Oryzias latipes: one gene and its partner. The protein of the gene in region 2 purifies or fractionates together with the protein of the main gene of each other region. This does not show direct contact. Links are inferred from orthologs where the notes say so. Each region holds a gene or a part of one and is shown on either strand. Other genes may lie near its edges.

Region 1 (4,308 bases), on a different chromosome or scaffold from region 2:
AAAAGAGGTGTGTTTGATTTTTTTTGTTTGCTGTTTGAATAATTTAGCGAAACTGTACAAAGAGATGATAGACGGCATAAGCAAAACAGTGTGTGGACACATTCCTTTTATCCATCGCCTATATATGATATAATTCCATAATCAATATTGGAAAAGACCATTTGGATTGAGCCATGATAAGTTTGTGCATTACAGCAGACAGTACACATGTGATGCAGCAAAAAATGATCAGTCCATCATTCTAGTCCAACGTGTGGAAACAGAGTTCTGCAAAGACATGTGACCACTCAGTGTGGTAGAATGTTCTAATCGTGTTCCTTTTTTATTATTTTGATGTTGAAAACAACTTTATGACAATGTGAATGAATTTGCCATTAATTCTTGATCAAATCGGATCATTTAAATTGAACAAATATACACTATGACTCGTATCGCAACTACAAATGATATGAATCAAATAATTGTTGAAAATAAATTGTTATACCTGTATTTTTAATTTTTCTAAACAAAACTGTATTTCAAATGGTTCTTCGTACCTTCAGCGACATCATCATCGATGGCTCCTTTCACCTGAGAGAAGCACCACTGCATGTCACCTCCAGGTGCTGTGAGAAGAGAAAAATGAGTGGATTATCTTCAGTGACTCTTCTTGCCGTCTGCTTCAAACACCAGAATGACTTAACTGAAGAAGATTTTATTGACTTAATATTGCTCTAAACCTAGTGAAAAATGCTTTTTAAGAATGACACACTTCGTTGTCATCTGCCAAGGAGCAAGACAGAATTGAAAGTGGCCAACATGCCAAAGTGCAAGAAAATCATATTAAAAACCAAAAAAGTACAAATCCATACATAAAGGGTGACTGGGTGTTGACAGTATCATTAAGGAGCCTGATGGAGCATGGGTAAAAACTTTTTCAAGTCTGTTGGTCCTGGCTCTGAAGGACCTGCATCTCTTCCCTGGTGGCAGCAGTTAGAACTTGTGCTCAATAATATTCATGAATTACTTCAGAAAAGATCAGTGTTGGGACCTGTCTGAGATCCAGGGTCTAACAATGATTCCACTGACCATTACCGCAATATTTTAATGATCATACGTGCACACATGCACCACCACTTAGGTAGAAAACTGTGCAGCATCTTTTTTAAGAAAGTGATCATTCACACAGAATTTTCAAAATACACGCAGCCAGAGCTGACTTTTTCTTTGGTTGCACGGACCCGGATGAAGGGTTAGGATTAGGTTAATACACGCGACCAACCACAACATTTAGACTTGGCCGTACTTAAAATTTGTGCCGGTAATGCAGGAATGTGCATCTGTCCGCTAAACATGCAGCCAACATGAATTTCCATCAGTTTTTTGTGTTTGGTCCCACATAAATATGTGCAAATAACATAAGCTATATCTTAAAACATTAAGATACACCACTATTACTCGAGACAGTCTACACCTGCAAAACCAGTTCTGTTCCAGTGAGTCAACTCACAGCTATAAAACTACATGATCTTTTAATTACAATAAAAGTGGGTGCAGTCAGTAACTGCTAGACTGTTCTCTTCATCTTAGGTCTTGTAGCTGGTTAACAGCGGTCATGCTGAGGCCTGGTTTAAGAGGAACTCAACATACATGAACAATTCTGGCACTGCAATCATTGTGGCCACTTACAAAACTGAAACCGAATGTTTCCAACAGTCACCTTAAAGCAGGTTGACGTAGCAGCACATACTTTAACAGAGTACATTTTGTAGGATAAACAAGCCCAAAGGAAGCAGGTACAATCATTTCTGTGCATACACACCAGAAAGAGTCAAAACACTCACTGGAGGAACAAAATATCTCAAATGTTTTATTGGGGAGTCTTGTGCAATGCATTTGTCTAAAAATGTGAGTCACTCAAAAAATGGACGACGTGCAAGCATTCCACACTTTCCATGATTGACGTTTCTGCTATGCCTTTAAAACCAAATTTAAAATCAAAGTCTGCTATAGGGGTGGGGGGTGAGGCCCCCCCACCCACTGGAATCACAATACTTCGCTACTAAAGTAAAGCTAACAAATGAATGAAAAACATCGCAGAGAAAGTCTGAGCATTCTCTACAGATGAAATGGTCGTTATCCCGCGCCTCTTGTAGCCTTTGAAGCAGAAACTGCGTGAACATTTCCCTCAGAGCTCAGTGGGCCCGCCTGCTAGCCTGCATGTGAGCAATGTCAAAGTTTGCGCTAAAGCTAGCAATGACGGCTTGCCAAGCTAGCCGATGCATGTTTGAGAACTGTGGCGCTACTTTGAGCTTGCCCTAACGTTTGGGTTAATAACTCGCAGCCTTGTGTGTTGTTATTCCATTAAGAGGTTTGCACAGAAGTATACCAAAAGAAAACCTCCGTGTACGAGCGAAATACTCGGCCATTAGCTACAAAAACTTAACACTATTTCATGCCGGTGCCACAAAATTATTAACAGATTTGGCTAAACTGCCATGCATATCATTATCAGGTTAGTAATGCAACCTATTTGTGTAGATAACAGCAAAACAGCTGTAACGGTAACTGGTAAGCTAGCTTTAACCGGCAAATGTTTCTGTTGTTGCGCGAGGACAGTCGAGTTCTGTGAATAGCTTAGGTTAGCACTAGCCAAGTTCGGCTAACTAGCTATCGTTAGCTAAAACAGAAATGAACTGGTGGGTGAATAAAACCTGACTCCCGGAACGCAGAGACGACCAAGAAACGACGTTTTAACAATGAAAAAAAACATTTTTTTTCAGAACGTTTAACACAGTCCAGACGAATTACCTGCCATGGCGAGACAGACAGTGGAGCTTGCCTCAGTCAGTTGGTCACGATCCTGCTTCCCACTCCCACGCGCTGATTCGTGGGATCTTAACTTTTTTTTCCTCCCTCCCCCCCCTCCTCCACTCAGCCTCTGTTCACCGAGCAAAGCAGAACAATGTGTGTGTTTAAGTCAAACTGCGCGGTTCGGAGTTCCCGCTCGTCTCTTTGCTGCTCCTGGAAACATTCACTCCCCCGCGGTGGTGCTGGTGTCTCGCGCTCTCTTGCCGCCGGCTGCTCCGCATCCCAGAAGTCAATTCTTCAAACTCCCCTCGAGTCTCTTCCGCACGTGAACCAAACCCTCTTTATAATGTGCACGCGCATGACGGATGTTTTGTCAAAGATTAGAAAGGCCTAAAAGCAGGGCTCTGCAACCTTTAATACTTAAACAGAACCAAAAAATATGACTTCATCGTTTAGAAAAAATAGGACACCGATATGTATTTATGTTATTGTTATGATAAACATAATTTTTTTTTGCATACAAAAAGATTAACATACAGAGAAAATATATATTTTTCAAAATATGAAATAGTTTATAACTTTTGACAGAGGTTGACATGACATCCTTTCAAAATAAAAGACACCCTGAGGCCTCATAATCCGGTGCACCTTAATTTTGGTTTTGCTCACTGACCTCCAGTTGATTTTCTGTGGTACATGGCGCACAAAAATCTGGCATAACGTTTTCGTTCAACCTGTTAATGCGTACTGTTCTTCAACTGTTTGTGTATGAGGTCATTTAAGTCAGTTTGCTTTTTTTCTTTTTACTTTACAGTTACTTATTTAAATTAAAAACGTTTTATTTTTCTGTAACCAGAGAGCCAAATTCGTTTTGGAGCTTCAGTCAGCAGACATCTGGATTAAACCAATGGTCACACTGACCTGTTTGATACTTTTACTGCTCCGTTATACTTTAGCATGTTCATGCTTAACATTAGAAAAACTAAGTTTACTGCAAAAACGTCTTTGATTGCATTTAATTAACCTGCAAGATATTTAACAGCTAAGTTTAAAAGTTTAAGATAAATTAGCAGAAAAAAGTAAGTTTTTAAAAATTAGAACTGGTCTGATGGTATAAAATATAATATGCTAGCTGAGCAAATTAAATACTTTAAATAAAATATATAATAGAAAAATTTAAAACCTAAAAAAGGTTTAGCCTTGACCACACAGCTACATTTTTCTGGTCTCAAAAGTCAGATTTTTGTTGTTGGTAATGTTGGCTTTGTTGCCCCTCCAGATGGTTCTACTAAAAATGTGAAGGTGGTTCACAAAATCTGCAAAATCGAATTTGTTTTTAAGGTGAAGTCGTTACCCCCAGAAACCCCCCACAATTATTAATTATTTTTCAAATATAAATATACCCATCACAAACCTTTTTACCCATTTTCTTTGTGAAATTGCAAAGTAGGATGAATCAATTAAAAACTCAAAAGGAATTTATAGGTTTAAAAACTTGGAACCCATTTGAAAAATACA
Region 2 (3,819 bases):
ATGCTCTGTCTCAATCCACTCTTGTTTCTGTGGATGTGTATAGTCAAACCCTTAAACATATTGGGTAACACGTCTTTATAGAACATATTAAAGGGCCAATGTTCTTCCCTTGCAGGCATTACTTAAAGAAACATTGTCTGCTGGGAGTTTTGTGACACCTAAAACTGTCTTCAGCCTGCTTACTGTTGGTGCGTCGTCCCTTGTAGATTTTGGATTTGGAAACTTCTTTAAACAAGGAGAGCCTTTGGCTACATGGTGTGGCAGCCCGCCATACGCTGCTCCAGAGGTCTTTGAAGGACAACAGTATGAGGGCCCACAGCTGGACATCTGGGTAAGAGAATTTCTTTTAACCAAAACGACAGCTCCTTCACATTCTTGTGCTTAAATTCCCTTCTTTTAATGGGAGTGATCTACTGTTGGATCCATTTAAAAAAGCTATGTGAAGTCAATTAATGTAATTTAACATTTTATTGGCAAGATGAAGATGGAGCATCGGTCTTATGTGTGTCTTTACTGACGTGATCCTGAAAGAAAATAAAAACCTTGATGGTTTACAGGTTTTATGTTGAAAATAAAATAAAAAATGATTACCGGGTTATAATGATTAAGAGCTAAACAACCACGTGATACAAAGGTTAAGGCCAAAGACAAAAGCATCATGGGAAAAAAATCTCAATCTTTTTTAGAAGAGGCTCAGTAACATTAATATAATTAAGAGCAACCGGTGAATCTTTCATTCAGAAGGGTGTGCGTGGATGTGTGAAAAAATAATTGTCATCTCTGATTGGTCTATTGATTGCTGCTCCCTGTATGCATCTGTTTCCAGAGTATGGGGGTGGTGCTTTATGTGCTGGTGTGCGGGGCGTTGCCCTTTGACGGGCCCAGTCTGCCTGTCCTCCGACAGAGAGTCCTAGAAGGAAGGTTCCGCATCCCATACTTCATGACTGAAGGTGAGCGGACACAAGTTTAACTCGTCCAGAACTTTATTACAATCAAGGCAAAGTTTGTCTGGGTTTAGGCATCACATGTATTACCTGGAAGCCATACTCCTCTGCCTTCTTTTGTTTAAAGTGTAGCTAATCTGAGGGGAGGATTTGTGGTGAACTATGAGGAAAGTCCTGCAGAAGGGATGATGCTAAGAAATGGGTTATTGCGGAAAAGTCCAGTAATCGTTGGTTTGAGGTGAAAGATAGAGGTCAGGTTCCATGTCATTTGAAAAACAGTCTTTGATCAAATGGCAAGCATCGCCAGAAGTGCAGGTTTTTGCCAATTGAAATGTAACTTCTCAGTTTAACTACCTGACTTTCACATCACATTTTTACACATCACATTTTTTTTCCTTCTCTGAGGTTGTGTTGCAATGTCATTTCACAAAATGGGTGTTACTTAAATTCTACTTTTCAATATAGATTGATGTTGATGCATTAAAATGTCTAGTTTAGCTTTCAATTTTGATTTACTGTAGATTGGTAAAACTGACCTTTGTATTACTCATACAAATTACCTGCTGGCGTCTTAAGCTCTTTTCTAACTAACTAGTACAGGTAAGTCCAATATCAAATATTTTGTAAAACTTCCCTAAAAGTATCAATCTTTATAGTATGGCACCCTGGATTTACAGTCACATCTGTCAGTTTTTTTCTAAAAACACTGAAAGTTTTTGTGAATCATTGAGTTTTTTCATGTTAAATTATTTAAAAAAAAAAGGGCATGAGTCATCGTACATGTTTTTGACTTTGAGTCACTGTACTGTTGAATGTTTACTGGCACCGTCTATCATGGCTAAAGTAGTGAGCAGGTCGTTTGATCACACAGAACAGTATGCTTTAGGATGGTACAGCATTGGGCACTCTGTCAAAATAGCTGCGTTTACATGGACAAAAGTAATAGGAAAAAACGCCTGATCGTAACAAAAATTCGTCATGTAAACACGCCGCTCGGAATACTCTGCCCCGATCTGACTCATTCGGATCAAAATTTCTTTGCGATCGAGATAGGTGGGTTATGCTGATTGTTGATCCGATCGTTTTGCATGTAAACGGTTCATTCTGATCGTGCGTCGCTACTGCTCTGGTTTAACATCACGCATTGAAGAAGTTTCACTCCAGAGAAGGCTTTGGAGCACAAACAGGACCAACCGGCTGCTCTGCAGACGCCTTGTGTTAAGCACTCTTCACCCCTCACGAAGTGGGGTGCCGGGGAGGAGCGCTTCGTGCCCCCTGACGTCTGGACCCTGCGCGGTCCAGGCTCGGGTGCCGGTGGACCGAGCGAACCGTGTCTCTGCAGAACAGAACAGACGGACTTATAACTTTGTGTTTGAGGGGAGGGGAGGATGCTTTGTTACGTTTGTGCTATGTGTGGGAGGCTTCGGGCTGCGATCCGTCCCGCTGCTCTAGGTGAACGAGCTGCTGGACTCAGGAGAACAGTGTCTCCCGGTAGAAATGTGTCTCTGAGCAGAGCTCGGACTTCCAGCTCACACAGCGGCTTTGGGGCAGTGAGCTTTTCAAAGCAGAAATGTCGGTCAGTCCTTAGAAACCGTTCAAACAATCACGTGGATTTGTGTTTCCAGTCATGTCCTGACTAAATAAAGGCTGATGTTATTCCCACATATTTTCGTGCAGCCTAGATGCAGATTGTGGCATTTCCCGCATGGATTTTGTGTTCATCAAAGAAGGCTAATGTTGTTAGCGTGTTAGCTTTCTCTTAACCCTTCTTCCAGCTCCGTTCCACAATAAACAAAGCACTGACCAAACCGATTCAAAATAAAAGGATGAGCGGACATGCTCTTCATAATAACTATAACAATAATAAATGCACGTTTAGAAGATCATCTTGTATATTACTGAACTGCCAGATATCTATGTTTGTGGCAGCTCAGCTTGTTTACAGCGAGACTCATTTCCTCTTCCGGCGCACGTGCAAATTATTTATTCCAGACGAAAGTGTGGCCCATGTAGACGTTTTGTTTTAATCGGAAAAAGTTTTTCTGGGCCCATTTACACGGTTGAATTATAATCCGATCTTTGATCCGATCAAGATATTTTGCACATGTAACCGCGGCTACTGACTGCTAACATTTGCAGGGGTCATGTGTTACATGCAGGAGTGAGTCAGGTCATATGACTGTCTCAAAGCAGCCCCGCTGTTAGCAATTGTGCTAGCTTGCAGGCTGGAGATTAAATCCAGAGCACGAGCTGTTTATGTAATCTGGGGGACAAGGCAGCAAAGCCCTCCTGCAGGCTCTTCCAGGAGACCCTCTGTATGTCTCGTTGACTCCCACTGTCTATGAAATGTCTTCCTGTTTGTCTATTTGCTCCTCATGATCGAAGTCTCCGTAAGGGGGAGTGCTGGAATTCATGTCATTTCTTCTTCTTTTGTTCCGAGCCTTGAAACAATTAGGAGACGGGGAATGTGAGAGTGTAATGTCAGTTCTTGGCCTAGACTGACAATCCAACCCGCCTTTCCACCCTCACTCCTGCCCCTGTTCCCCCCCCCAAATGTGAAGAACAGAGTGTTCTCATTTCTTCTACTAGAAACAGACCTCATTTCCTCCCATTGCTCTCTCTGGTCAACTCTGTGGTGCAGGGAACAGACTAGCACCTCACTCTAAACTCTCACTAGAACATTTTAGTCCAGTGAATGCTGTGGTCAGGCACTGATCAATGACCTTTTCAGTTTTTTGCATACCTTTGCATGTCTCTTCTTTATTCAAAGCTTCATAGGGACTCAGGTTGTCTATGCATTCAGTCATGTTTTAATGGTTGCATTTGAAAACTTTATTTTTAAGCTTTGGTGTGATTTATATACACTGAGATGCAT

What was found.
Region 1: the proteins of sik2 (region 2) and serine/threonine-protein phosphatase 2A 55 kDa regulatory subunit B alpha isoform purify together in Homo sapiens (affinity purification with mass spectrometry; 3 studies listed by BioGRID and IntAct, with this or other methods). This does not show direct contact. The link is inferred for Oryzias latipes from reciprocal best matches to the Homo sapiens genes SIK2 and PPP2R2A.

The regions. Positions count from the first base shown.
Region 1 is NC_019870.2:24,073,665-24,077,972, forward strand, and holds the start of serine/threonine-protein phosphatase 2A 55 kDa regulatory subunit B alpha isoform, read right to left. Parts: upstream 3,103-4,308; 5' UTR 2,798-3,102; coding exon 2,791-2,797; intron 606-2,790; coding exon 537-605; intron 1-536. UniProt on the Homo sapiens protein: Substrate-recognition subunit of protein phosphatase 2A (PP2A) that plays a key role in cell cycle by controlling mitosis entry and exit. Involved in chromosome clustering during late mitosis by mediating dephosphorylation of MKI67.
Region 2 is NC_019871.2:15,495,083-15,498,901, reverse strand, and holds part of sik2 (serine/threonine-protein kinase SIK2), read left to right. Parts: intron 1-206; coding exon 207-331; intron 332-826; coding exon 827-950; intron 951-3,819. UniProt on the Homo sapiens protein: Serine/threonine-protein kinase that plays a role in many biological processes such as fatty acid oxidation, autophagy, immune response or glucose metabolism.